Linked DNA regions of Notamacropus eugenii. The protein of the gene in region 3 interacts with the protein of the main gene of each other region in a pairwise test. Links are inferred from orthologs where the notes say so. Each region holds a gene or a part of one and is shown on either strand. Other genes may lie near its edges.

Region 1 (7,119 bases), on a different chromosome or scaffold from region 3:
CCTGTATATCTCTTTCCCCATCAGACTATGAGCTTCTTCAGAGCAGGACTGTTTTTAGCTTTTCACTTAACAAAGTGCCTGACATACAATAGGTGCTTAATAAATGTTTCCTGACCAATTTGTTTTACTTGGGGAATACACAGTCACCTTCCTACTTTCCCTTCTCCCCCATGATGTTTTTTGATCCTCTTTTCCCCAAAGCCTGAAGGAGCAGACAGGAGGAAGAAGGGCCCCATGTATACAGGTACCATTCTTCCGCCCCCTTCAGGGCCCACTTTGGAATTATCTGAGCCAAAACAAAAACTCCACAATTAAAATTGTTATAACTTACTATTATATTTTCTTCCCCTCCAATTCCCTCTTTCTATCCCAACCTGCTACAAATATAAATAAATATTTTGTAGCTTTTTAATTCTGGAAAGGAAAAAAATTAAGGAAAAATTGAAATAGTTATAGAAAGTTTAAATACTGCTACTGCCTAAAAGCACTCTATTCTTGCCCCATTCACATTCTTTCATTTTTCTTCTCTTTAATGATCTACTTTTCATGAAAATATATAACTAGAGTTGCCAGTTTTATCCCTATAAAAACAATCAGCAATACATAAACCATTATGCCATTCCATTGAACATGGTAGGCTGAAAATATCTGGATATTCAAAACTCTATCCACAAGAGTGGACCAGTGACCATGTTAAAGTTCTGTAGAGTCACAAAATCAAATCAAAAGGATGAAAGTGTTAAGTTTTGAGCTAGAAATGACAAAAAGGGCCCCTAGCTAAACAAAGCTTCCACAATCATTCAAGTAAGTCCTAAATAAGAGAACAGCCAAATCCTAAAAATGGCCAAAATGAATGTTGCTTAAAGAATAGGGGAAAATAGAAGGGAACTCTCATGCTCTGAAATAACCAGAGGATCAAAAACTGTGACCACTCTGTGCTAGAAGGTTAAAAATAACACACAGAATTTAACTTTGCACAAAATGCCTACATGCCTCGGAGAATGGAATTTTCTAATAAAAATATGCACATTTACAGCAAACAACATTAAAAAGTATTCCTCGTGTGTCAAGCCTAGTCAGATGCCCATTTTGTCTGTTTCTATCCTAGCTCTGTTAAAAAGCATGAAGTCTTTCTCCAAAGCCCAATTCAATTATATACCAAAGGCAGTTATCAAAAAAACAAAATAGAGTTTAAATAAACTAAGACCAGTAAGATTAAGCCAGCTGAATTAAATAACCTCTGAGGTTCCATTTAGGCTCCTTAGGCTCTAAAACGACTATAATTCTACTAGTTTCAAGGTTCTAGTTTTAGAAGAAATATTTTAATGCGTCTGAACTTTTTAAGTTAAAAGTTATAAAGAAAGAAAAACTTTCTTAAGGAATCTATGAAACTCACCATCCTGCTACTTGAGGATTTCAGGCAGTCCGAAAGAAAGCTGAAAAGGGGAAAGAGTTTACAAACTTTTCATTCCTTATTTTATTCAAATATATCTATTTAATCTAAACAGTACATTTACAACAATTCTAGTGGGTCATGGTTAGAGGGAGAGAGCAGCAGATGCAAACAAAAGACCACAGGCAAGAAAGGGAGCTTGCTTTGAAAGCTATCCTCCAAAGCCAATGCCACTACACCTTTCCTTTATTTGCTTTATTATGTGAGCCAGTTGTGTTTGTGTTTATGCATATACATGTGCATGTGTCCCCAAAGAAAGCCACTGTTAATAAAGATTCCCTTTAAAGGAAATAATTTTGCTTTATCTCTTTTCCTTTCCTTTCCTATCAATTTTCTTTTGTTCCAGGTCTGTGATCTCTTGGTGTAAGTAGCTTCCAAGTGAGGAAATTCCCTCTATTCTATCCATAATTGTTCTCCAATTTATTAATCACAAAGCATTTATTAAGCACCTACTATGTGTTAGGCACTGTGCTAGGTTCAGGGGATATAATTCTTGCCCTTAAGTTTATATTCTATTGGGTAAGATAGCATATGCACATATAAGTGTAGGAACAGGGAAAGGGACTTGCCCGGTTATTTCACTGCTCTAGGGAATTGCTGGGTGAGGAAAAGCTCTATTCACACAGGTTAGCACTTTCTCTGTTTCCAGCACAGGGAAGCGAAATCTCTAACCACCAAGTTATCTGATGTCTGGTATAAACATATATACATATGGGGATCAGGAAAGGCCTCAGGCAGGAGGTACTGTTGAATTTTTAAGGAAACCAAGAAAACCATGTATGAGAGTTTCCAGGTACACCAAGGAGCTAAATGACTTGCCCAAGGTTACACAGCCAATATGGCAGCAGCAGGATTTGAACCCAGGTCTTTCAGAGGCTGACTTTCAATACACTATACCAGAGGATTTCAAATGTGGTCCTGTGGACCCTGGGGTTCCTTATGACATTTCAAAAGATTTTGCAGTATCAAACTATTTTCATAGTAACACAAAGATGTTATTTGCCTTTTTCCCTCTCATTCACTCATGAGAATACAGTGGTATTTTCCAAAGGCCACATGACCTGTCAATTAAAGTTTAGCTGCAAATGCAAAAACTGTTAATATCTTGTCTGGAAATTTGTACTTACACCTGCCACCGTGAGCTTGACAAATTTCCAATTCTTAACTCCAGTGACATTAATGATTTAAGCTTGTTACATAGTATGATGAACTAGGTCAGCATGGAGAAGATCTGCATACCTTACTGAACCAATACTTTCCAAATGACCAATTTATGTGTTACAAAATCTTGGGTAAAAGATCCATTTAAAGTATAAGATTCAACCAATGGATTTTAACGGAGCACTGTTCCAAAAGGTCACATATGTGGTTTTAGATTCCTCATTGCCACTAACCTTTAAGAAACTACCACGTGACCACTTTTGGTACAGCATCAAAGACATCTGGAAAGGCCATTTAAAAAAACTCCCTTTTCCAACTACATATTTGCATGAGACTGGGTTTTCTTCACATACTTCAACTGAAAAAGACATATTACAAAAAATTGAATGCAGAAACAGACAGAAGGATCCAGCTGCCTTCCATTAAGCCAGAAACTAAAGGGATATGCAAAAATGTAAAACATGGTCATGCTTCTCACTAATACTTTCTTGTTCTGGAAAAGTTATTTTTTAAGGTTAATTATATTCACATCTAATAATTTTACTATTACTTTAAAAACAAGAAATATTTTAAACATTTTCTCAGTTTTAATTTCTAATGCTGTATATCAGCAATAGCTATAACCCACCTAAAGGCAGTTTGGGGTCCAGAGACCAAAACATGGGAGAACCACTGCTCCTCAGATACACCAAAACCTCTCTAAATACGAGTTTGACTTTAAAGGAGTAGAGAAAAACCAGCCCTTCATCCAGACTGGATCCCCACTACAGCTCACTCCTAAACACGTGATTGTTTACAATGAAGGAACGCCCCCGCCGGTTCTTTCCCTTTCCACTCCCAAACTGTCCTTTTGGGATAAGCCACTGTTTACTTGTTTGATGATTCCGGGATATCTGGTACTCCAGGGGGTCAGGGTTCCACCAGCGGAGGTCGGTGTAAAACACAGGCAGGAAAGGGATGCGTTTCTACTCCTTCCGGCGCCCAGGACGGAGTAAGCTTGGGACAGCGGCCTGGCTAAATCCTCGCTGCCCCGGCCCACGCCCTCAGGACTCATCTCGGTCCTCAAATGCCAGCCGAAAGGCGGGCAGTGCTGACGGCCGCGATACGGGCATGGAGGCGGGAGAATCAGAGTGACAGGACGCTGAGACTACGGCGCCACCATCAAGTGCTCCGCTACAGTAGTGGTAGTTACTACTTACTAGTAAGTGCTTCCAACCGCAGGAGGAGTCGTCGCTCTCCTAGGGCCCTCCTCCCCGAGGTGGCCCACCCATCCCCACTCAGGAAAGCCGGGCTCTCGGAACCTCCCTCCGGCCTCCTCAGGCTACGGAACAAACGCTAAGACTTCGCGCTTAAAACGCGGGAACTAGAGGCCAAGTCTCGAGCGGAAGGAAGGGGCACGAAAACGAAGTTCCTCCTCCCCTCGCTGTGCCTCTGCGCAGGCCTCTCGGCCTCCCGCTCTCTTCTCCCCGCTCCGTCCCTAACCCGCAGCCTTCCTCCCTAGGTTCACCTCACGGCTGCAGCACTTCCAAACACGAACGGCGATTCTAGACCCCAAACGAGCGGACCGGAAGAGAGTAAGGCCGACGCACAAAAGGAAACGGGCCACTTCCGCTCTGACCCCAAGGCAGCGGAAGCCCGTGAGTAGGAAGCGGAAGCGACTCCCAGGTGGGCGGGCGTAGTGAGAGCGAGGCTCAGGTCTGGTGTTCCTGTCCTGTCGCGTTCTGTCTGCGGCCTTGGCGACGGGTCCTGTAGGAGTTTGGGTGCAGCCTAGGCTTCCATTCCTAGTCTCCTGAGGCTAAACTGCAAAACTTTCAGGAGACCTTCGAGGCGAAGCTTCTCTTCGTAGAAAAGGCTAAACTGAGGCCAGGAGCTGCCCTAGGTTACGGGGGGAGGGGCAGGGGCTTCTCGGCCCGGACCTGATTAAGAAAGGACGCCGGGAAGGCAAAAGGCTGGGACGACTGCCCAGGGGACCGCGGCCGCCGCTGCCGCCCCTGACGAAGAGACCGCTTCAGAGGGTTCGAAAGTGCCTTTTGGTTTGTTAAGATATGCGTAGATGTATATATTCAATATAAGTTGTTGACGTTGCGCAGTGATGCCGGTTTGGTTCTTTTTCCCCTATTGGTTTTATGTGGGCTTTGGGATGATCCGAGTTCAAGCCTTGCCTTTAACACCTAACTTGTTTTATGAGGCAGAACTGAGTTCAGATCACGTCCTCATCCCAGGGTTGTTGTGTGGATAAAACGAGTAAGATTTGTGAAGTGAGTGCATGCTGGCTTGAGCTCGTGTGCCTCGCATAAAGTTAGGCGCTTACTGCTACGATGATTGAATTTAACAGCCGCTTTATCTCGGCGTCCCAGGCCACACAAGACTATATATATATACTATAAAAAAGTTGCAGATCAGCAGCAGTGGAGGGAGTTCCCAACATCAGTTTACCCATACTCTTGAGATCATGTTCCTAAAGGAGAAAAAGGAATAGCTGGGGGGGTTTTTAGTCCCTGGAAATCAAGCACTTAACAAATAGCTCAAGAGGGGAAAGGTTCTTTATGGCTGATTCTTAGAATCTTTACCCTCTTGTCAGGAATTGGATATGAAATTAATTAATTACAACTGAGGAAACAAGGTAATTTATCAGAGGGTATTTCACCAATATGCAGTTCTTTTATTGTGTTCAGGGACATATCGCTAAGCTTTTCTCTCAGGAGAAAAGTAACTTCCTGAAAGACACTTTTTGATGCTTTCTATATTCTTCCACTCGATGCTTTTTATATTTCACTGCTTTCACATTCTACTTTGTCTTATATTTGAACATCTAAATGTCTTATTCCCTCCTTCTCCAGTGCACATTAGATTATTGTAATTATTGTAATAATGTGATCATAATATTGTAATAATTGTGATCATCAATATCTTACTCATTTTTATATCTTGTCCTATCACTGCTCTCCTTCCTCAATTAGCATTGTCCCTTATTCATAATAAAAATTTAATAAATACTTCCTGAATGAATGAATTAAATTAAATTAACTGCCTCTCTAACTAGAGTGCTTGAATGTTGTCTCCAACTACTATTTACGTTTCCTCTTTTTTTTCAACTCTTTTCAGTCTGGCTTCTAACTTCAATATTCAGCTGAAGCTAGTTAACAATCATCTCATAATACTAAAACCTTATGCCTTTCTCAGTCCTCATCCTTCCACCCTCTGCGGCATTCTCTCCCTGTTGATCATGTTTTTCTCCTATATATTCATTCATTTGTATTTTCATGACATTGATCTTGCTAAGATGGGCTCTGTCCTGAACCCTTTTCAAGTACAGATACATTGTATCTCAATCAATCAGTAAACACTTATTAAGTACTTACTTCGTGCCAGGCATTGTACTAAACACTGAGGATACAAAAAGAAGCAAAATACAGTCCCTGTCCTCAAGGACCTCACAGTCTAAAGAGGGAAAAGCATGCAAACAAATACAAAGCTAGCTGTAGATGGAATAAATAGGAAGTGATTAACAGAGGGAAGGCATTAGAATTAAGATGAGTTCGAGGTTTCCTATAGATGGTGGGATTTTAGTTGGGATTTAAAGGAAGCCCTGGAAATCAGTAGTTAAGAGTGGAGGAGGGAAAGCATTCCATGCATGGGGGACAACCAGAGAAACTTTACAGGAAGTTTCCAGATGAAGGGTCTTATTCATGCAACAGTCAGTAGGCCAGTGTCACTGGATGGAAAAGCATATGTTAGGGAGTAAGGTGTAAGAAGACTGGAAAGGTAGGAGGGGACCAGATTATGGAGGAATTTGAATGCCAAACAGAACATTCTGTATTTGGTCCTGTAGGCAATAGGAAGCCATTAGAGTGGTCAGACCTGCACTTTAGGAAAATCACTTTAATGGCTGAAGAGGATAGACTGGAATGAGGAGAAACTTGAAGCTGGCAGACCCACCATCATGCAGTAGTCCACATCTGGGGCAATAAAAATGTACCAAATTATTAGTAATGTCAGAGGAGAGAAGGGGGTTGTATTCAACAGATGTTGCAAAGGTGAAATAGATGACCCTTAGCAAGAGAATTGATGTGTTTGTAAGGGGGGGAGGTGGTGGCAGAGGTGGCAGCGAGGAAAGATAGTGAGGAGTCTAGGATGACTCTTAGGTTTTCAACTGATCTCCATCAGCAACCAAAAGTTTAATTACCCTCTGTGCCAGTGACTCTAAGATGTACATACACAGCCATGAGTCTCTCTCCTGAGCTTCAGCACTTGGAACTAGATGTACCATAGATGCCAGCTCAGATGAAACATGTCTAAAACAAGCATTTATTAAGTCTTTATGATGTGTCAATACTGTGCTGTGATATACTGGGAATACAAAGAAAATCCAAAATAGTCCCCCTGCCTTTAACAAACTTATGTTCTAAAGGAGACATGTTAAAAGAAAAAAAGGCTATTTTCAAGATACTTAAAGAATAGATAGGTGACCTTAGAAGGGAATGTTTTAGCATTTGGGGAGACTA
Region 2 (7,967 bases), on a different chromosome or scaffold from region 3:
TTTTACAGAAGAGAAATACCACAAAACCCGCAGTCTCATACACCCATTTCATTCACTTAGGAAAGAAGGTCTGTGGATCTGAATTTTATTGAGAGCCAAGATGGATATACATAGATACACAATACATTTGTACATAATACATATGTATGTGTAAATCAGTATTTGGGACTTGCAACCACGTCCAGACTATAAAGTAGTGAGACTGGTTTCTGATTTTTCTGTGTTCTGTAGGAGCCCTCTCAGTACTTTACAAATTGTAAATATAAATTAGCATCTATTTGCACATATAGAGAATACATTTTTTATTTACATGGAAGTTCAGAGGCTAGACACATTTAGCTACCCAGTCCCGAAAACTTTATTAAGCATCTACTACGTGAAGGGTATATACACTTGCACATGTAATTTTATCTATAACATATCTATACAATAGAATATTGGGGGACAAATTATATACAAACATAAAAGTTTCATTATACATACACAAGTCATTATTTATCTGTTCTATAGTTGCACTCTATTATTTGCATGTACATATTTCATAGAGGCATAGATACACAATTAAATATTAGAGAGTCAGAATCAGACCTAGAATCTATCATAAGCATACACACTTATTTATTATATACTCATGCATTATATATAATGTATGTATTTTAACACAGTGCCTTACAGAAGTAGTAGGCACTAGATAAATACTTATTGATGTGACCCACATAAAATATATGATATATTTGCATTTTTGTTAGTTTGTTGTTTCCTTCCTTGCTTCTTTTCCTTCCTTTTTTCCTTTCTTCCTTTTTCCTTTCTATCTTCCTTTATTTCCTTTCTTTCCCACCTTTTGTTCCTTCTTTCTTTATTTCCTTCCATTTTTGTCTTTTGGTCATTCTGTCTCTCACTGTCTCTCTTTCTCTCCCTGGATGTCAACAAGAGAATCTTCCCGCACTCAGCCAGAGATTGTAATATGAACTCACCCGAGGTCCCTTGCCCAGTGTCTCAGACTCCATTCTTCTCAAGAATTCCAGCCCATGGGCCCTTAAGTGGATGGAGAGAATCAAATGGGAAGATGTTCTGGTTTCCATAAGGGTCCTTCCCCTCGATTGCAAACCCAGATTCTATGCAGAAAATAGCAAGAGGTTAAGAGAGAAGACGGGTCTTCTGCCTATAAAATAAAAGATATTTGACTCTTTAGGATTTTTTTTCTTTTTGCTGTGTTGGTGAGGGGAGAGGGGAAGGAAGGGATGATCACCTTCTCAGGGCAGGATAATTCAGCACTCAAGTTGCTCTCTAGAAAGAGCCTTTCAGAGCCCAGTTCTGGGCTTCCAAAGGCTCATTTAACAGTAGCAATAATGACAATTATAACTGATCTCATTGAAATAGAAATAGGATTTCTACTCAGCATCCAGGGTCCCTCAGTCTTAGAGCCCATTCTCTTTCCCAGAAGACAAGGTAGCTAGCATAGACATTTGAAATGCAGCATTTTCTGTCTTTGAGGAGTTTTCTGGATTCATATGTCACCTTTTTTTGTCTGCACCCACTCCTCAATAAAAATGAAAGTCGTGGAGGACTTCAGGAACACAGGAATCCCCATTTGGAAAAGGAAGGTTTCCATGAGGCTCTGCCATGGATTCCTTTTCCCCTCAAAGGCTCTTCAGGGTGGATTCAGTCCCAAACCTTCAATGGGAGAAAAATTACACACACACACACACACACACACACACACACACACACACACACACACGGATTCTTTTTCCCCTCAAAGGCTCTTCAGGGTGAATTCAGTCCCAAACCTTCAATGGGAGAAAATTTCACTCACACACACACACACACACACACACACACACACACACACACCTGAAGTGAAGGCTCCACATCCCCGAAAGAAGGGGGAGAGAGGGAGAGAAGCTGCAGCCCCTCATAATCACCTTCCTCTGTTAGGGATCCCACGCAGAATTTCTCTAGAATCCCAGGGAAAGAGTCCTTCTAACCCACACTGATCACTCCAATCCAGACACCGAAGTCAAAAAGAAACCTTTATCTCTTGGGACTTTAGGGTTTGCCCCAATTTCTCTGGAAGTAAGAAGAGGATTCTAAACCTTACAGTCCTCTTTCTTCTGCTCCTGTTAAACTTTAAATGACAGCCTCCTTTTTTCGCAGTCCTTCCTATATTTCTTTCTTTCTTTCTTTCTTTTTGAATGAGCTTTGCCAATTGAAATAGGCTACCGGGTCTCTGGCGTCCTGAAGGCGGAAGAATAGAGGCTACCAGCAGGGGAAAACAGAAGGGCTAAGGAAGAAATAGCCCAGCAGACAAACTCGGCTTTGGGAGTGTGTGTACATATATGCATATACACACACACACATAGTATGTATATGTATATATAGTATGTATATATGTACCACATACATATATACACATACATATATAACGCATATGTGTGTATGTATGTATGTTGTATATTCCAGCCTCCAGCCTCCACCTCTGTTTGGGCTCTAATTTATATAGTATAGAAAATTATATACTCAGCCCTGCCACGGTTCGTAACGCTGTTATTTATGGTAGGGGAGGACTGATTTTTTTCCTCGGTAATATATTTATTACAGGTAAGCCGACAGCAGACTCCATCAGTCTCGCAAATAGAGAACAGGTGTTTAAGTTTAATATTGATTCAGGACCGCTCTTTGGTCGGTGTTCTCCCTCTCTGACTCTCTGCTCCAGCCTTACTTCATCTTTTCTTGTCTCTGCCAAGCATCCCTGAGCCAGATAGGGGCAAATCACACCGGGGTCCTTTTCCCGAAGGAGCCTAGGGAAAAATTCGGCGGACTCGCATGTTCTTAGGCCATCCGTCCATTGTGCTGTCGCCCGGGGGAGAGCTAGGTTCGAGAAGGAGGAGGAGATGGGGGTGGGGATAGTGGGGCAGTACTCGATGCCAGGATTGATCTTTAAAAAATCATTTTGGAATCGCCATCATGGAAAGAAATATGACGCTACGCCCTCGTATTTCACAAGTAATGACACGAGATGGCTTCATTTGGAAAGGAAAGGGAGGGAGGGAGGAGGGAGGGCAGAGTCGCCCCCCCCCCAGATGACCTGAAGGCAGCAAAAAATCGAGAAATCATAAGTTGGAATGACCCTATATCCTTTTGTTAAGGGGACCTTAGGTAACAGGGCTACCAGAGAGATATGGAACAGGAGGCAGCTTGCTCTAATCCCCGCGTCCTCCTCAAGACTCCTCTTGCCGCAGAGGGATTAAGCTTTTCAAGACATTTCTTACGCAGGCCACCGAGACTTTCAGCACCTCACTTTTCAAACACCCCACAACAGCAACTCTGAAAAAACAACAACAATACCCTGGCCCAAAGTAATCACATTCCAATAAAGTTTCCCCTCTACTTCTCCCTTTCCTCCACATTATACTTTTTTAGAGCAGATCCCAAACTTCTTGGGGCTCCCCAACTAAGAAGCAGACCACCGAGGGTTTTCCTGGAAGGAGGAGGAGAGGAAGCTTGGTGAGATGCGAGACGAACCAAAGTGTTGATCGGGTCTCTCAAGTGCCCGCGAAATTTATATCAATTAAACGCGCTCTTCAGAAGCGCCGGCTAGGCTGCCAGGGAGGTGGGAGGCCATTTCTTCAACCTATTCTCGGCTGCCTCAGGATTTCCTTTACTGGAGGAGATGTGGTAGCCTGCCTTAGAGAAGCCGATTCAGGGAGAAAGGAGGGGGAGAGGACCTATTCAAGAGTAAATAGCTACTATCCAACCCAAAGGTGCAACTCACATTGGGGACCCCTATCCGTTGTCCTTTCGTTCTCCAACTGGAGTGACTCTTAAAGTACTGATCAATAACTCTTCACATGAGGGGATTGGATTGGATCAACTTTGTGGGCTGGGGGCACAGAGAGGTACAAATCACAGGGAAGTTATCCCTGCATTCCCTTCCAGCACCCACCCGCCGCCTCTCTAGGGAAAAATCAGAGGTACCTCGGGTTAAGTTTTAATTAAACTCTTTGCCCGGCGTAAGTTTCCCGTTCCGTTTACTCCCTTTCGCTGTATTTTACCAATCCTTTAAACTATGGATAGGCTGTGATTTCAAGGAGGGGGGTGGGTGGGACGGGGGCTGGGTTGCTAAACTGGTCCCCCCTTCTCTTCCATTGTTCTTGTTTGTTTTGGGGGGTTTCCTCCATTATTAGGGAGACAAGGGAGGCCCAGCGCTTAGGGCTATCAATCCCGCTCGGTCCCAAATAAGCGCAGTAAAAATTTTAAAAGTCAGGCCGCTTATTTCTCCTCAAACCCCTTACTTTGGGTCTGTTTCTCTCTGTCTATCTCCTCTTTCATTAGCTCACCCAGTTTCTCACCTTAAACGAGTCGGCTTTTAAACAAGAACAAATTCATATTTGAGTAGCTTGGGAAAGGGAAAGGAGACCTTTACAGGGGTGGGAGAGTGACGGGTGGGAGTGTGAAGGAGCGGAAACTATCTATTTTTTAATTATTCCTTAGAATCTCTCAGGCTGCTCTCCAGACTGGGCCCTTTCCCTTTGCGACCCGCCAGGGGAGAGTGCTGAGCAGTCAGAGTCCCTTCGATGAAGCACACAGCTCTTTCCGTCCGCTCCCCCACCCCCGCCCATGTTGAGAGTTAACCCCCCTTCCTCCAAACGGGGGGGACCCCGGGCGGCCGGCGGCTTGGGCTGAGGTTACGTGGTCGCTGGAGCCCTGACGTGTTGCCACATTGCATAAAACAATTCATCCTTGATATGGAATGCAGCGCGGATGACAGCGGGAGCGCAGCCCCCTCGCTCGATTGATTTACGTCGAAGCTGACGCTTTATCAGGCAGTCGGAAAAACTTTGACCAATCATTTTGCAAGAAGCTCCGAGCCCGGCTGCTCAACTGTACTTTGTTGGCTGAGAAGTTGAGCAGGGGGTGGGGGTGGGAGGGTGGGGGGTTGGGGGGTCGCGTCCAAACCCTCAGACCTGTCCTGTAGCCACCTCTCCCGATATAGGGCGCCTCCGCGCTAGTGCTTCCCTTCCCTGTAAACGCTCCCTGTATAATGTCTGAGAATGTCCATTTCTGGGACGCTTAGCAGTTATTATGTTGACTCGATCATAAGTCACGAGAGTGAAGACGCGCCTCCAGCCAAGTTTCCTTCCGGCCAATACACGAGTCCTCGCCAAGCCGGCCACGCGGAGCATCTCGAATTCCCCTCCTGTAGTTTCCAGCCCAAAGCTCCGGTCTTCAGCGCCTCGTGGACGCCTCTGAGCCCTCACTCGTCGGGGAGCCTCCCTTCCGTCTACCACCCGTATATCCAACACCAGAGCGTCCCGCCTTCGGAGAGCAGGTATCTCCGCACCTGGTTGGAGCCGGTGCCCAGGAGTGAGGGGGGGCCCGGGCAGCCCCTAGTGAAAGCCGAACCTCTGCTGGGGGGCTCAGGGGAGCTCCTTAAGCAGGGCACCCCGGAGTACAATTTAGAAACTTCTTCCGGAAGGGAAGCTATCCTATCTAATCAAAGACCCGGCTACGGAGACAATAAACTTTGCGAAGGAAGCGAAGACAAAGAGAGGCCTGATCAAAGTAAGTTATAAAAAGTGAGGAAATGCCAAGGCAACTAGAGAGCTAAGGGTGGGAGGGAAGAGGTGGGGAGATGGGAGGGAGGTAATAAACCCCGGACAATGTAAAGTTACTGCGGTGTCAGGCTGAGAGTAAGAAGGAAGGAGGGCGGGATACTCGGAAGTGGGGCAGGCCAACTACCCCAGGAGGCGGGAAAAGGGGTAGATGTGGCAGTCCCCTTAAAATTCTAGAGGGAGCTTTGTCCAGGCAATAAAGACAAGCTGGACCAGTTTCCCGAGTTCTCTTTCTCTCCCGTGCTCGAAGACAGGGAGCTGCTGGATGGATTGGAGCGAAGTTGGAGGGAAGAGGGCCACTGAATTGACAAGGAGAGAGTCAGGGATCAGGGGGAGCAAAACAGGGCGTAAGCGGAACCTGGGAAACTTAGAAGAGAACCCTAGTCCCGAGCCTTAACCTGCTAAATTCCCTCTGACTGTGAAAGTGTGTGAATGGGAAGAGGTTTGGGGACAGCTAGAGTGCTCGCGCTTCTTAGATTAAATTCACTGTCGGTGAAATGAATATTTTTGAGCCACGCGCAAACAGTAAAAACAAACAAACAGCAAAGAGAGGAAGGACTGGAGGGAGGGAGGGGGCGCCTCATTAGGGTTTTATTTGAGATGCAACAGCTTGGTGAATTGTTCAAACTGGATCACGCGCCGCTTCCGTCCCCTGTTTGGGGGAGGAAGGGAGGGAAAGATGAAGGAAAGGGACAAAAACAACCACGTAGTAATAGTACTCAAGACTTCCGCCCTCGCCTCGTCCCAGCCTTTCCAGCTCCGCCTCCCCAGCTCCCCCTCCGGGTCGGGAGTTTAATGTGGGCACGGGCTCGGCAAGCATGGAAGGACCAGAAGTTAGAAAGGAAGCCTTGCGCCTTCTCAGTATTTTTTTCCTTGGTCTCTCTGAGCTCTAGGCAGTCCCACTTCGTCTGTGCTTTCTTCTCAGCTGAGGATGATTCATCTTAGCCAACCCCAAACTTCTCCCTCAGGGGTGCCCCCGCCCAGTAGCCTCTGTGGACTGTATCTTTACTTCTTAGTTGGAACGCTTTGACACCTCAGAGATCTGCTCTGAACTTCCCTGGACATTTTTCCTGGTACATAGGTCGAACTCCCAAAGTTTTATTGGAGAGCTGATGGAGTTGACTGGATGTAACGGGGCTAAAGAGGAGCTTAACTTTTCTGGATGGAACTTGTTCTGCACAGCTCTCCCTTCCCCTCCTCCCTCAAACCTTTCAAGAACGCCCCTTTCCAGATTCTCCAGTCTTTCAGAAGTAGCAAGTTCCCTGGTATTGTCTGTCCCCGTTTTTTGAGATAGAGTAGGAGAAGTAAAGTAGGGGGTACTTGGGCAAAAAACCATGCCTCTAAACAATAAACAAAGCCGAGACGAGACGTGACAAGGTTCTCTCTCTCTCTCTCTCTCTCTCTCTCTCTCTCTCTCTCTCTCTCTCTCTCTCTCTCTCTCTCTCTCCTCCTCCTCCTCCTCCTCCTCTCTCCCTCTCCCTCTCCGTCTCCCTCTCCCTCTCTCCCTCTCCGCTTCCATTGGGGCCGAATTTACAGTCCTGGATCCCCTCTGTCTGATTCCCCATGGTTTTTCTACCCTGAGTAGAGTAGTCTGGAGAGGGCTGGCAATAAGGGTGGGGGCGCAGGAGGTAGCTCATCAGGGTTGGAGCTGGGGTCAGCTGTTCGGGAAAAGACGACTCCCCTCTCTACTCTCTACTGAACAAATGTGCCCCTCGAACTGGGCCGACCAAAAGGGAAAGAGTTTGTATTTTAGGAGGACACCCCAAAGCCTCACACTCGGCCTTGAAATCCCTTTAAAGCGAGGGAGCAACTTCACCAGCATCAATTATTAACAGCTTTCTTCCTCTTTAATATTTAATGTTGCTCCATGTCCCAACCCAGTCAATCACATTAAGGAAATAGCGCAGCAAATTGGTGAGACACGGTACTTATAGCGTCAGATTAACCGGATTATTTTAAAATATTCAGGGCATTCCATTTTGGGAGAGGAAATCAACCCAGGATGGCTGTTGTTCGCCATTGGTTCAGCATTTATTTCAAGAATTTGAAAAGAATCATAGGGAGAAGGACTCAGAAAAGAGCGTTGTCTCTTAGTTTTTATTTGTTTCTTCTCCCCCCCCCCCTTCTGCCCCCTTTCCCCACCTTTGCTCACTGCATGGGTATTGGGCAAAGTAGATGTGTATGTGTGTGTGTGGGGGGGGGGGGAGACTTGAGATCAGGACTCTTGCTCCCCGCCCCACCTCCCTCAATTTCCCTGCATATTATCTCTGAACCTTGACTTAACCAAACTCCAAGGCCTAGAGAGGCCAAGGTGAGAATATTGCAATCATAAGTTATTTCAGAGCCACTGGC
Region 3 (7,025 bases):
CACCTTGATATTGATTGCTTAGACCTCCCCTTCTCAACCCGCACCCCCCCCCCCCACCCCGCCCCCAACCACAAACAAGACTGTGATTTGGGTCACAAGACAAAGGTAAAATGATCCTGAAGGATAGAGGGTTCTATGAGGAGGTGGAGTAAGTGTTAACTCAGCTCCTAGGAATAACAACATTCTTGAGAGATTACATTAGTTCTCAAGCTGTCAGAGTAGTGGGCAGGTAGGTGGGGTACTGGATAGAGTGCTTGGCCTGGAGTCATCTTCCTTAGTTCAAATCTGACTTCAGATACTAGCTGCGTGATCCTGGGCAAGTCACTTAACTCAGTGTGCCTCGGTTTCCTTATCTGTAAAATGAGTTGGAGAAGGAAAAGACAAACCACTCCAGTATCTTTGCCAAGAAAATCCTTAGTGAGGTCAAGAACAGTTGGACACAACTGAACAACACTCAGCTAGTATCCTGTGCTTAGTAAAGGCTGCTCTTCTTCCCCTTGAATCTGTGACCTGGGACTGGGTAATGGGTGACAATGCTGCCAGATGGGCAGCCTTTCCTGCCCCCAGCACTAGTTCTGGGGTCCCCCAGATCTCTTTCTGTCACTATGATTGCCTCTTATTCTGGTGCTGATGCCAGTCTTCTGGACAACCCTCACCCTAGAGTCAGCAGAACCCCCTTTTTGTCTTCCTAAGCTGGCTGGGGGGGTAGGGGGTGGGGAGGGAGCGATTCACTGTAACTTTGCTTGACTTTCTTGATCAGAATTCAGTTTAGTACATTTTCTAGGTTGTTGTGGAAAAGATGTATTGAGATAACTAGGCAATAATGCTGATTCTCACTGCACCATCTTGACTCCGTCCTTGTCCAACCATTTTGGAAAGCAACGGACAATCAGGCTAAGAAAATGACTGAAACGTTCATATCTTTGACCCAGAAATCCCTTTGCTAGGCATGTAACTTGTCAGCTCTGAAAAATAAATGCTCAAACAGCCCACAGAGGTTTCAGCAAAAAAGCTTTACTCCAACTGTCAACTGAAAAATTAAACAAAACACCAAAGAACTCACAGAGGTTATAGATAAAAAGCCTTCTGTATTCCATCACAGGAGGGAAACTAGACATGCATGCTGGGGCCTGATCTAAGACCAAGGTAGCCCAAGACAGGGAGGCTAATCCTTGATGTATACAGAGGTGGCATGACAAAGAAGGAAGCAGTGAGGTGTAACCACTACAATGAGGTAGAACAGCAACAATGTGGCAATTTGGCCTCCAACAAAAAGTCCATTCATCGCAGCTTCATGACCTGAATGTAATTCCTGCAGGTGCTTGCCCAATCTCAGGGACCACCTGGGGCTGGTTTGAGACAGTTCTGTGGTTTAGCTGCAGCCCAATTCTCCCAGAGGGCAAGTGCAAAGAACTGTTACTATGCCAAGCTCAGGGCACAGCTTGCTTGCTGGGCCTTCGTCTGGAAAACTGTGTCCTGACAGAGGAGCGAAAAGAGAGGAGTGGTTTTGGCGTGCAGGTCCTGACAGCTAGCAATTGACTTCTTCACTGAGCAGTTCTAATCTACAGTATTTAAAATATACCTTAAAACTCATATTCCCGCTGTTCTCAAACTGAAGTTGGATCTTGATGGGGAGGGTCAATTGTTTTCTCAGATGATCGTTTTCCTCCCTAAATTGTCCTTTACATAATTGACACAGGAAGTACTCAGGAGAGTACCTCAGTGATGGACCTATTTTCATTTGCCTTGATGACAAATGCTCATTTAGTTCCTGGATACCCAGACCCAACTATGGACTTAGGTAAGGTTCTTGAAATGTGCAGTTTTGCAAAGGACCACTTTTTGTTATGACTAGTGACCCAGGTGGTCCCCTTCCACAAAAGGCATCAGCCTTGGATTTCTACAAACCAGGTTCATGCTGGGAGGGATCCTATACACTAAAAAAAGAAAGGGAGGTCAGGCTTCTGTTCTCTTTCTCATCTTTGATGTGGATTAACTTCAGTGAAATCTCTAAAACCAAAGTTCATGTATAGGGTCTCCCCAAGGTGGTAGAAGTGTCCATTTCAAAAAAGTTACTCCCTGTACAAATATCAATTAAAAGACAATGGTTTATTGTCTCCACCAGAGAAAATACTTAAAACACTAAAGATTCATAAGCCTACACAAGTACAGAAAACATAAATCCTCTCAACAATATTCTCCTGAAGGTAAAGGCATTTATTTAGTGAGACTGCTTAACAGATCTCACATTCATCCTAGACCTACACTGTCTAAGGAACTCTCCAGATGTCCAGGTCGGTTTTTTATTGTTTACACTTTAATCTTCATCTATAGCATCCTTCTTCTCCAAGAAATGGTGATGTTTTGGAAATAAACTCTCATGAGATGACTGTTATGGAAAGGGATTGAACCAAATGAGCTCTGAGTTCATCTCTTGCTATTCTAGATCTATGATCCTATGAGAAAGGTAGGGGAAGAACATTTCTTTATAGTAGTGTACTGTTTGGGACTGTCTTTTACTTTTCACTGGTCCCAGAAAATCTTAGAGCCCCAAATGTGTCAGTTGTATGTAGGTCCCTCTGGCTTAAGTTTAGAGGACATCAAAATACCACAGTGTAAGAGAGTAATATGTGAGAGACAGTAAAAGTTGTTTCCACAGTGAGTTATTGTTAATTGACGAAGTCATTGAGAATAAGTTAGAAAATAAGAAGGCCAACAGATTGCAGGTGGATTCAACCAGTCAAAAGACAGACAGACAAAATGACAAAATTTTTGATAAAGGAACCAAATCTACAGCTATCTGAAACTAGACAAGAAAAATGACCTAGAGTTGCCTAGAGAAGGCTTGTCTTCACTGCGCTTGCTTAATGAACCTCATGCATATAAGCAGACATCCCACATAAAATTATCCCTCCATTTTCTGATCATGGATCCTATGTTAGAGCATGTTTGGGAGGGAGGATCATACCAAGGGGCGTTACACAATGGGAATGTAGAGAGAGGGTGACCTAATGGAGGATGGACCAATCCATCTCCTGGTGGGAGGATCTGTCTTCGAGTAGCGGCATACAGCTCATCCTGGTGCTGTATCCAACGCTCCCTCCTCCTCCTGAAAAGAGGATGGCAGCCAAAGTGTTCAATTCCTCCAAACTCTGCTGCAATACATTTTCCTTGATACTTTATTAGAGTCAGGGGTGTTTCTAACAAATAAAAGGAGGTAATTCGTTCCTTCTCTCTCTAATTGTACTGTCCTATCTATACTTTGAAACAAATACCTACAGTTCAAAAGCAGCCTGTCTCCTTTTTCCTGTCTTCTCTCCCCTTCCTCCCTGTCCACCCTAACGAGAGAGAAGTTTCACTCTAGCGGTCCATGAGGGGAAGAGGATATAGAACGCAGAAAGCAGAACCAGAAGTAACAACGTTATAGAGACAAACAACTTGGAAAGCCTTAAGAACTCTCATCAGCACAAAGATGGACCAGACGCCAGAGAACTGATGCTGAAACAAGGTCTCCGTCCCCCAGCTCGGAGGGAACACATTCAAGGGGCACAACGAGACCATTTTCAGCCAGGGCTGGAATTTTGTTTTTCTTGAATACGCATGTTGGGTACAAGGTGTTTTAGGATTTATGGGGAGAAATACTCCCGGGTCCAGAGAGAGCCGATGAGGGCTGGGGGCAGACGGACGCATATTTGTTCACTGTTTTTCTCGGTTTTTCACGACATGGCTACTGTGGAAAGTAAGCTTTGCGTGATTTTACACGTCTAACCGACATCGCATGTCTTGCCTTCCCAATGGGTGGAGGAGGGGGAATCGAGGAACATAATTCGAAATTCAAATTTAAAAAAAAAGTTAATGCCCCAAATAAAAGAAAACAAGGTTTGGTTTGTTTTTCCTCAATGGATCAGGGAGATGGAAGAAATGAAATCTGGGTTCCTCATAAAAAGAAAGTTTAATTTTTTAAAAAAATTCTGCTCGAATCCAAGCCATAGCTAAGCGTCGAAGAACAGCAGGCGGCGCCTCCGCATCGCCTCCCGCGAAGGCTCAGGGCGGGTCGGGCCTCCCGGCCGGGAAAGAGGGCTCCACCTGCTCCGGGAAGGGCGGTGCGGGAGGAGCTGGGCCGGCCGGGCCGGACCGGGAGCGAGCGGACCCGCCCTCGCCGGGGCCGGGCTTCGTTCCATTGGCCGAGGGGAGCTCGGAGGCGGGGCCGGCTCCCCCATAAACAGAGGCTGCGAGGGCCGGCGGGGCCACACCTGCTCCGATCTCCGCGGACCTAGGGAAGAGCCCCCTGGTCGTTCGCCGCCGCCGGCCCCGGGTCATGCTGCCAGCCTGACTAGGAAGAGGAAGCTCCCGGGAGACGAATGAGGAACCACCTCCTCCTGCTGTTCAAGTACAGGGGCTTGGTCCGCAAAGGGAAGAAAAGCAAGAGACGAAAATGGCTGATTTCGTGATCCGCCCCGCCACGGCCGCCGACTGCAGTGACATCCTCCGGCTGATCAAGGTAGCCCGGCCGCCGCGCCCGCGGAGCCCGCCTGGGGCCGTCTTCTTGGGGGTTAGGGTGGGAGAGGACCTAGAGGACCCTAGACACCCGGGGCTCCCCTCATCCCTGCAGGGAAACTTTCTGAGCTGGCCAGAGTCCCGTAGGAAAAGAGAGAGACGGAGAAGAAGGAAAGAAAGAGAGAGATTCTGCGTGGCAGGGACCGTGCTAAGGTCCGGGGTCGGAAATCCAGACCAAGGGAGTGACAAGGACAGGGACAAACTTAGCAGAACCTGCGCCCTGTCCGCTCACCGCCCGGGTGATGGTCTGTGCGGCCGGTGCACGGCTCCGCCCACGCCGGTAACCAGCAGGCGGCTGGATTTTCTGCCTGCCCCTTCTGGCGGAAATCTGGGAGTTCGCATTTTCCCCCCTCACTTAGTTTCAGGTCCGTTGCGCGTGTTTAGAGTGGACCAGGAACTTGGCCCAGACTTCTCCCGCTCCCTGAGCAGAGCTCTTGGCCCTGAGCCTGGCGCTGCAGGTGCTGAGACAATAACCCTGCCTCTTGGAGATAAAAGGACTCCGGGTTCTTATGTGTTGTTTTGTCTCTCTTCTTTCCCTTTTTATCTGCTCTTACCAGGAACTAGCAAAATACGAAGAAATGGAAGAACAAGTAGTGCTAACTGAAAAAGGTAACTCATTTGAAAGGAGGTTTGTCTAATAGCCTTGGTGACCGGCACCATAGCCATTAGCCATTTTCTGTCCCTGTTGGCCTTTCTTATAGATCTGCTTGAAGATGGGTTTGGAGAGCACCCTTTCTACCAGTGTCTAGTGGCAGAAGTGCCCAAAGAGCATTGGACACCCCAAGGTAACTAACTTTGCCCCACCTGTCCTGTTCTTTCTCTTGCCCTTCTTTCTCCCCACCCCCACCCCAGTAGGGAATCAGAAAGAGACAGGATGTTGATATAATGTCTAGTTTTTGCTTAGAACGGTTGGCTAATGCAGAAGGTTGAGAGTGTGCTTTTGGGAAAGGTGGCCAGAAATAAAGCAATCCGATGTTGAAACTAGAAAACCAAAAAAAGTGGATGTAGTGCCATTCTAAAAATAGGGTGAGTTAAAAGAGGTGTTTGTCAGCAAAATGCCCTACGTATTCCCCGGAAAACTGGGTATGATGTCATTTGATGTAATTCAGTTTCATAAAATAGTTCTTGTTTGACCCTAACATAACCTTTTTCTGTAATCGTGTTGAATCACATTTTTTCTTTAATTTGTCCCAATCTTCAGGTTACAGTCTCTAGCTTCGCCATGTACATGGCCCTTCTGTGTACATGGATGGGCGGGGAGGTAACTAAAAGATCCGTTACTCAATAAAGTAGATGATCATGATAAATGAGGTAAGGCCTAGAGGGACAAGTCCTCTTCCCACACAGTGTAAAAACCAAACCAAACCAAACCAAACACACGGTAGATCAGAAATTCCATTAGGATCTCTTCCTGGCTGTGTTTACAAACCAGGGTGAAGTGGCTAAAACGTTTAATTTGACCACTGACTAGTACGCCTTTTGGGACTATTGGCAAATTCCAAAAGTTAAGTCAGCTGTTTGAAGTTGCTGGCTCATTGTTTACTGGATGGGAAACTCAGATAAAAAGGGAAACTCTCTAAGGAAGGCGGGGGTGGAGGCTGTTTCAGGTTAGGAGGTTTGGTTTTTTTTTTTTTTTATTGGTGGGGGTTCTGTGTTGGGTTTTTTTTTCCCCCAGAAATCTGTTCCTTAAAGTAAAGGGAAGAAATAGGCAGCACTTTCACCCACCTGGCAGAGGATTAAGTGTGAAGTGCTTGCTGATCCAAGGTACAAGGAGGTCACTTAGCACTGTTTATCTGCCTCTTGTGCCCTGAAAAACTGGGGAGAGTAAATTGGAAAAAAAAAAAAAAAGCTTCTGGAATTAGCTGAAGCTACTGGCATGGTGTTCTAACCTCAAGGAAGTAGAGTTCATGAACTCCTTGTACTTAATAATATTCTGAACTGCCGTGTAAACTCGATTTATATTCACAAGTGGACATACCAGTAACGCAGTAGGTTGGGAATAATGTCTGTATTTACATAAAGGTCATAGCAGCTCAGCTCTCGAGCCATTAAAACTGTTGGAGTTTCTGTGAGGGGTCCAGGAGATTGCAGAGTGGGTCACACATAGACAAAGCGGTTATTCAGAGATGTCAGAATTCTTCTCCTGCCTCCAGCTCTAATGTGCGCTTCTTGCAAACTCAGAACAGCAGGGTAGCCTAACAATGGATCGTACTGTTCTAGCATAATGATAGCTGCATGCAGAGACTGACTGTGATAGCAGCTTAGTTTTCAGATCCATGCATGTAAAATTCTAAAACCTGTAAACATTCTGAGTGTGTGGCTACAAGTGCTATGGACTTTTTCTCCTGTTCTTTTTTACTAAAATTCTGTGATCCTCTGTTCCAGGATACAGCATTGTTGGCTTCGCTATGTATTACTTTACATATGACCCATGGATTGGGAAACTGTTATATCTTGAAGACTTCTTT
Region 4 (7,794 bases), on a different chromosome or scaffold from region 3:
AAAAATTCCCCACACACTGTAGTTGTTGCTGTGCACAAAGTTCTCCTTGTTCTGCTCCTTTGGTCAGCATCAGTTCATATAAGTCCTTCCAAGCCTCTCTGAAGTCTTCCTGTTCATCATTTCTTATAGCACAATAGTATTCCATTATATTCGTATACCACAACTTGTTCAGCCATTCCTCAGTTGAAGGGTATCCCCTCAATTTCCAGTTCTTGGTCACCACAAAGAGAGCTGCTATAAATTTTTTTGTACATGTGGTACCCTTTCCCATTTTTATGATCTCTTTGGGATACAGTCCTAGAAGAGATATTGCTGGGTCACAGGATATGCACATTTTTGTAGCCCATTGGGCATAATTCCAAATTACTCTCCAGAATGGTTGGATCAGTTCACAGCTCCACCAACAATGAATAAGTGTTCCAACTCTCCCACATCTTATTCAACATTTATCAGCTTCCTGTTTGGTCATGTTAGCCAGTCTGATAGGTGTGATGTGGTACCTCAGAGTTGTTTTGATTTGCATCTCTCTAATCAATGTGTAGCCACAATTTACATTTCACATACTTGGTTCCCCTGCACCACCATCACCACCAAGACTTCTCTTTTCAAGGTAAGCTTCTCAATTTATTCAAACATTTTTATATACTAAGATTTATAGATTCTTTTTTATTTTAGTCACCTTTGTTTATATACGCTCTTTGTCAATGCCCCCTTTAAACTGGAGTACCCTGAACTAAAAACAACACTATAGATGCAGTCTAACCAAAACAGAAAAGAGTGGAAATATTACCTTTAAAAAAATAATGTTAATTAATGAATTCTAAGATTTAATTAGGATATTTTGGGCTTTTTTTTAGTAACCACATCACACTGTTAGTTCATACTAAACTTCCATTCAACCAAAATACCTATATCATTGCCAGATTTTCTCCATCTTGCATTTGTATTGATGTTTTGAATCTAAACTTTGAACTTATAAACTTTATCTTCATTAATTTGGGTCTCTCTTTTAAGCCTATCAAAATCAATTTTAATCTTAATTCTGTCATTTATCAGTCCATCTCAGGTTTTCATTGACTATGCATTTGACAAGCATACCTTCTAGATCTTCATCCAAATCTTTAACAAAAAATATCAAATAAAACAGAAACAAGCATTAGAGACAAGTAGCATGGCAATGAGAACAATTTTTGCTGACTGGTATGGAACCATTGATAAACACTCTTTGGATCCTGCCATTCAGTCAACTATGAACATGACTTACTCTACTAATACTCAATATATTTCCCACCACACCAACTACTAAAAGTGACCTTTAACTTCTAGAACTTAAGAAGTTCAGTAGGGATTCTTCTCATCCTTCTATTAGTATCAGAAGAGGGTGTTGATACAGTGTTCCAGGTAGGAGTGTACATAGTAAAGCAGAGACCAGTCGCATACAAAATGACTGTCCGTGGATGGCTGGAGTTGTATCTGATGGGCTCTTAGCCTTCTTATTGGAAGGACCCTATCCCTCAATCTGTTAGCTTTTTCAAGGATCTGTTGGGAAGGATGGAGTTGCACAGAGAGTCCTGAGCAAATGTTTAATAGTTAGAGATTTCTTGATAGGTTTTTTTCAATTCAGAGGTCTTTTCACTCTAATTCTTTCTAGATCATACATCATGGAATTTTAGATCTGGAAAGCTCAGAGATGGTAGAGACCTTTCAGTTCAACTCTCTCATTTTACAGATGAGGAGACTATAAAGTTGAAGTGACAAGTCCAAGTCCAAGGTCACCCCAGCTTCCAGCCAATATGTTTTGTTGTGTCACTGAGAGCTGTTTGGAAGGGAAGTCTGTGAGAGGAGTAATGTGTACATGGATAAAAGTGGTGGTTGGAATGAGAATGGAAAGAGACTGGTGAAATTTTTTAACTGACAACTATTAGCTTGGGGAAGTAGATTCAGGAAGTTGGGATCATGGTATAGCTTCATTCTGTTGTACCTTTATATTATTCAACCTGATTTTTTAAAAACGTGTTCAGGAGATGTTACAAAGGTGAAATCAGTAGGCCCTAGCAACAGATTAGATGTAGGGGTGAGAGATAGTGAGAAGTTCAGGATAATTGTGAGCCTGCAGAATTGGGAGGATGATGTTACCCTCTACAGTAATAAGGAAGGAAGGGAGGGTTTAAAAGGAAAGATAATAAATTCTGTTTTGGACACGTTGAATTTAAGATGCCAACTGGACATCGAATTGGAGATGTCAGGAAAGCAGTTGGAGATTCAAGACAGGAAGTCAGCAGAGAATTTTGGGCAGGATAGGCAGACCTTCAAATCAGCAGCAAAGAGATGGTAATTAAATCTATGGGAGATGATAACTAGTTTAGAGGGAGAAAAGAACTCAGGATGGAATGCAGAGGGATAACTACAGTTAGAGGGCATGCTCTGGAGGAGGATCCAGCAAAAGAGACAGAGAAGGAATGATCAAATAGATGGAAGGAAAACCAGGAGAGAGTCCCAAACACCTAGAAAGAAAAGACTATCAAGGAGGAGTCATCAAAAGTGTCAAGGGCTGCAAAGATGCCAAAGAGAATGAGGATTGAAAAGTGCGTTTGGATTTGACAATCAGTGGGAGTCAATTTGAGCTGTCTCTTAGCATGCTCCTGAAGGAGTAGGCCTTTAGGACAATCTAGAACCTGAGGAGCCATAATTTTCAACCATCCCAGCCCCAAAATGTACAGCTCAGGACACGGAGACCCAGAGAGAGCCAATAACTTACCCACAGTCACATAGTTTTAGTAAGTAGTAGAGACAGATTTAGAGTGCAGATCCAGACTCTTAAGTTTAGCACTCTTTCCACAACACCATGTAAAACTGACCTAAGACTTTGGGACACTGCATATCAGAATCCATCAACTCTTAATTAAATCAAGATGGAGTCTGTGGCCTTGTGCTACATATGTGCATTATACACAACAGATGCAAAATAAATGGATGTTGAATGAATATTTAACAAGCAAATATGAGATTTCATGTATCCAACCCCAAGAATTGGCAGAGGTGACCCCCAATCTTCTTGACTTTTTTCTCCAGGCCCTTTTGTAGGAGTAAAGGTGGGAAGACATGTGGAATATGGCAATGGTTGAAAAATAGCCCATTGCCTAGAATGCTGTCAGATTAGGGTAGAAAGGTCTGAGCACCAGTTGCTGATAGAAAAGGGAGTGTATACGAACCTTATGGGACAAGGAGAAGAGCTGTCATATTATGGGGAATAAGGGGTCTCTGGATGAGGAGCACCCCTCCCCCCAATAAAAATGTAAATACTCCTAGGAGTTCTGTTATCCATCAATTACATCTCAAAGTAAATGCTTGTATTAGACCGACTATTTTGACCAGGCAGAGAGGACAAAGAAAGGACGAGCAATGCCTTTTTAGCCTGGTTTTTAAGGTCTTCCACAATCTTCCTCCAAGTTACTTTTGCAACTTTGTATCTCAACTTCTTATACTCCAGTTAAGCCAAATTGCATCTTTCACCACTCTATCTCACCTGCCTTTCCACCCTCTATGCTAGTGATCACATGGTCTTTCATGAAGGCAATGGCCTTCCTCACTCTCATCTCTGCTGTCAATTCAGGTACAAAAAGCACAGAATTCATCAAGAGAGAAGGGGTACTGCCAGCACCACTCTGAATGAGTCCCATCCTGTCTGGGCCAGTTTGTCTTTAAAATGAGGAGATTAAGCTTGATTTTCTCCAAGATACAAATCCCTTTGATCTGTTTATGTCCCCTATCTTTTTTTTCCCCACTGTTTCTTCCCCATTAGAATCTAAGTTTCTTGGGACAGAGTTTTGTCTTCCTCCAGCTCCCTGCACTTAATACAGTACCAGGTATATAGTGAGCTCTTAAGAGATGCTTGTTGACAAACTGTCTTTAGAGAGGTCTTCCTCCAATCTTTCCAGGATCCCTCCAGTTAATTAGAGCTTTCTTTTCCTGAATTTAAAGTCCTCGATTTTTTGCACTTTCTCATATTCTAAAACTTATTCTAAGTTTTTCTAAGGTTCCACGCCCCTGGAGGGCTAAGTAGGGGTCTCCTTCATTTTTAAACAGGTACTGGAAAACTGGAAATCAAGGAGATGCCCATCAACTGGAGAATGGCTGAACAAGTTGTGGTATATGAATATAATGGAATACTATTGTGCTATAAGAAATGAGGAGTAGGAAGACTTCAGAGAGGCCTGGAAGGACTTATGTGAACTGATGCTGAATGAAAGGAGCAGAACCAGGAGAACTTTGTACGCAGCAACAACCACAGTGTGTGAGGAATTTTTCTGATAGACTTAGTCCTTCACAGCAAAGCAAGGACCTAAAAAATTCCCAAGGGACCCTTGAAGCAAAATGCCTTCCACATTCAGAGAAAGAACTATGGAATTGGATCCCAAAACGAAGTGGACCATTTTCTCTTGTGTTGTGTTTTTTATGGTGTCTCCCATTCATTTTCGTTCTTCTGTGCAACATGACTAAGGTAAAAATGCATTTAATAAAAATCTATGTCTAGAACCTATATAAGACTGCACGCCCTCTTGTCTTTGCGAGGAAGTAGAGAGGGAGGGGGAAGGAGGGGAAGGGAGAGGGAAAAACTAAGATATAAACTAAGATAAAACTAAGAGATGATTGGAGAAAACTGAAAACAAATCAAATAATTTTAAAAAATAAACAGGTACTGGATGGAGTTGCTGGCTTGGGGGATGGGGGGCGGGAAATAGAAGCTGGATTAGGAACTAAAAGCCGCAGCCAGGAGGACTGGGGATCCAGTTCTTAACAGTCTTTCAAAGTCAAGGAGCACCAGACTTTGGACTCCTAACGTGGGAAATCCAGGAGCGAGCCGGGGAGCCTCGCCTCTTCCAGGAATTGAACGAGGCAGGGAAGAAAACCTGGCTAAGTCCAACGCAAAGACATCTCCAGGCGGCCGGGGCCCAGAACCCGGAACATCTCGGTAGCGGGCCGGGCCGGTCCCTCCCCGCCCACGGGATGTGGGCGGTCTCCGGGGCAGTGCTCGCTCCGCCCTTCCAAGGTCCCTTTGGGCCCCGGGGGAGCCGGGTCCGCCTCCAGGCCGGCCTAGGCTCCGCCCCTCTGCTCTTTCTCGTCTCGGCGCCCTGAGCGCAGTGTAACCCAGCCCCCAGTGAGTGTGTAGCCCGGCCCGCAGCGTGTAGCCCGGCCCGCAGCGTAGCCCGCAGTGTGTAGCCCAGCCCGCAGCGTGTAGCCCGGCCCGGCTGGCGCCGCAGAGCCGTGTGTTTGCAGCGTCTCCCTCCACCCGCTCCAGGATCCCCGGTGCTCACGGTAACCCCAGCAGCCCTCCCTCCCTCCCCCCACACTGTCTCTTTTCTCTACTGTATGGGCTTCCCGCCTGGCAGCCTGCCCTGCCTCGCTGACCTCCCAATCCTGGGGCCACCGGGCCTCTGTCCCCAGCCCCGCTTCTAACGTAGCACCCCCCCTTTTCTCCACGATAGCCTTCCGCGGCTTTCCTGGGACTGCCTGGCCTTTGGCTGTCTGATGGAGTTAGTCCCTGTTGGTGACGGTGGCATTTTTGTAACCTCCTGGAGGGTATGGGCTGGGATGAAATTGACACTGTATCCCTACCAGGGAAGGCTTTCTTTCACGGAGATACATCTTGATACACTTTTGCTAAGTTTCATAGTATATATAATCATAGCTAGCCTTTATGGCCGTATTTTAAGGCTTGCAAAGCGCTTTACATATGTTAATTAGAGCCTCACTATAACCCTGGGAGATGGGTGATATTCTTATCCTTTTACATATAATAATAGATAGTAGATATTCACAGAGCTCTTTGAAGGTTTGCAGAATGTTTTACAAACCTTTCATTTGAGCCTCACCACAGTCCTGGGTGGTAGGTGCCATTATTATCCCCACTTTACAGAAGAGGAACATGAACTGTAACAAAGATTACAGTGATTGGCCATGCAGATAGTGTCAGAGCAGAATTCTAACTGATAGTCGACTTACCTAGTCAGGACAGGAAGAGATCTTAGAAACTTGAAACAGAAAGAACATGAGAGATCATAGGATAAAGATTCAGAACTGGGAAGTAGCTTGGGCATCTGGGGAGACCAGCCTGCTTATTTTTTACAAATGAAGAAATTCAGGCCCATCATGGAATTGACTCTCCTAAATTCACCCAAACAATATGTAATAGAGCTCCTTACACTCAGCCTTTACAAATGATTTAGTTTCACTGTATGACAGATAAGAAAACTGAGACTCAGAGGACCATAGGATTATTAGAGCTGAATTTTAGACATGGAAAGAATTTTGGATTTGGAGTTGAAGGACCTGGGTGGGAATCCTGGCTCTACCCAGGGAGGGGCAGCTAGATAGAGTGCTGAGCCTGGAGTTTAGAAGACTTGAGTTCAAATTTGGCCTGAGACACTTACTAGCAGTATGACCCTGGGCAAGTCACTTGACCCTATTTGCCTCAGTTTCCTCATCTGTAAAATGAGCTGGAGAAGGAAATGGCAAGTCACTGCAGTATCTGTCCCAAGAAAATCCCAAATGGGGTCACAAAGAATCAGATGCGACTGAAAAACAACTTACAACAGTCTATCATGTAATTCAAGTGTGACTTTGGCCAAGTCACTGGGCCCACTCCTTGGGCCTCAGTTCTCCATCTGTAAAATGAGGAGGTTGGACTCCATGACCTCTGAGATCCCTTATAACTAAATCTATAGTACTTTGACCTTAAACAATCAACAAAGGAACATTTGTTAAGCATCTGCTTTGTATTAGGCCAAGCACAGAGGTATGTGCTGTGGATACAGAGACTACCAAAAAAAAAAAAATAGCCCCCTACCGCTACCCTTCAAGAAACTTACCTGACTGGTATGGACAAGGGGGTTGGACAACTGGAATGTAGGGTACTAGACCAGTGATATTACTGTACAGAGAATTCCCCTCTAAGGAGTCTCTACCAATGCAGGCTGGCATCTTCTCTGAAATTTACAGTCTTAGAAATTAGCTCAGGGCATGAGAAGTTAAATCCTTTCCCTGTGGTCACACAGCCTGTGTGGATCAAGAGCAGGACTTAAAATGTAGGTCTTCCTATTTGTGAGGCCTACTCCACTGTACCATGTTTCCTCTGCATGTATAAGTAAATACAGTATATATGTAGGTGTATATGCACATATATTTGTTGTTCAGTGGTATCCGACTCTTTGTGACTCCATCCTGCTATTGTATCTTTTAGCATTTTAATACTGTCCATGGGGGTTTTCTTGGCAAAGATACTGGAGTGGTATGGTATATTCTTTCACGGTAGGCAGGCTTTAGGCATGGGTTCTAGTGATAGCTTTGTTTCTGTTCATAGGCACCATATTCAGGAAAGCTTATGTAAGAAGGTTCTCCTTTCCCAGGATATCTTTTTGGCTGTTGCAAGGTGCGAAGCCAGGTGGAGTTGGAAATAAGATGAGACTGAAATATGTATAGGTGGAGTCCCACACAGATGAAATCATAAAGCTTAGAAGTATTGTAGCTTGTCTAATCTAAACAGTAATAACTTATCTTTATATAGCAAAATCATCATTCTAGTACTTTCCTCATGACAACTGTGTGAAGTAATTAGGGCAAGTATCTTTATTCTACAGAAGGGGAAACTGAGACTTGGAAGTGAAGGCACATGCCCAGAGTCACCCAGCCAGTAATTCATAGAGCCATGACTTAATCCCAGGTCTTGTCTCCAAAATCCCCTTTTAACTTATTGATTAAACACCAGTTATTCCCTAAAATTAATTGCTAATTCAT

Evidence for each region.
Region 1: the proteins of SAT1 (region 3) and NIF3L1 interact in binary tests that used the Homo sapiens proteins (3 or more experiments, as listed by UniProt). The two-hybrid records come from large-scale screens. The link is inferred for Notamacropus eugenii from reciprocal best matches to the Homo sapiens genes SAT1 and NIF3L1.
Region 2: the proteins of SAT1 (region 3) and HOXB9 interact in binary tests that used the Homo sapiens proteins (3 or more experiments, as listed by UniProt). The two-hybrid records come from large-scale screens. The link is inferred for Notamacropus eugenii from reciprocal best matches to the Homo sapiens genes SAT1 and HOXB9.
Region 4: the proteins of SAT1 (region 3) and CASP7 interact in binary tests that used the Homo sapiens proteins (3 or more experiments, as listed by UniProt). The two-hybrid records come from large-scale screens. The link is inferred for Notamacropus eugenii from reciprocal best matches to the Homo sapiens genes SAT1 and CASP7.

The regions. Positions count from the first base shown.
Region 1 is NC_092877.1:297,045,903-297,053,021, forward strand, and holds the start of NIF3L1 (NIF3-like protein 1), read left to right. Parts: upstream 1-4,116; 5' UTR 4,117-4,251; exon of another isoform or gene 4,252-4,647; intron 4,648-5,205; exon of another isoform or gene 5,206-5,237; intron 5,238-7,119. Other genes in the region: PPIL3 (peptidyl-prolyl cis-trans isomerase-like 3), read right to left, coding at 1,397-1,399. UniProt on the Homo sapiens protein: May function as a transcriptional corepressor through its interaction with COPS2, negatively regulating the expression of genes involved in neuronal differentiation.
Region 2 is NC_092873.1:352,395,161-352,403,127, forward strand, and holds the start of HOXB9 (homeobox protein Hox-B9), read left to right. Parts: upstream 1-4,958; 5' UTR 4,959-5,054; coding exon 5,055-5,565; intron 5,566-7,967. UniProt on the Homo sapiens protein: Sequence-specific transcription factor which is part of a developmental regulatory system that provides cells with specific positional identities on the anterior-posterior axis.
Region 3 is NC_092876.1:453,304,846-453,311,870, reverse strand, and holds the start of SAT1 (diamine acetyltransferase 1), read left to right. Parts: upstream 1-4,018; 5' UTR 4,019-4,435; coding exon 4,436-4,501; intron 4,502-5,114; coding exon 5,115-5,166; intron 5,167-5,258; coding exon 5,259-5,342; intron 5,343-6,942; coding exon 6,943-7,025. UniProt on the Homo sapiens protein: Enzyme which catalyzes the acetylation of polyamines. Substrate specificity: norspermidine = spermidine >> spermine > N(1)-acetylspermine. This highly regulated enzyme allows a fine attenuation of the intracellular concentration of polyamines.
Region 4 is NC_092872.1:192,055,022-192,062,815, forward strand, and holds the start of CASP7 (caspase-7), read left to right. Parts: upstream 1-4,794; 5' UTR 4,795-5,316; intron 5,317-7,794. UniProt on the Homo sapiens protein: Thiol protease involved in different programmed cell death processes, such as apoptosis, pyroptosis or granzyme-mediated programmed cell death, by proteolytically cleaving target proteins.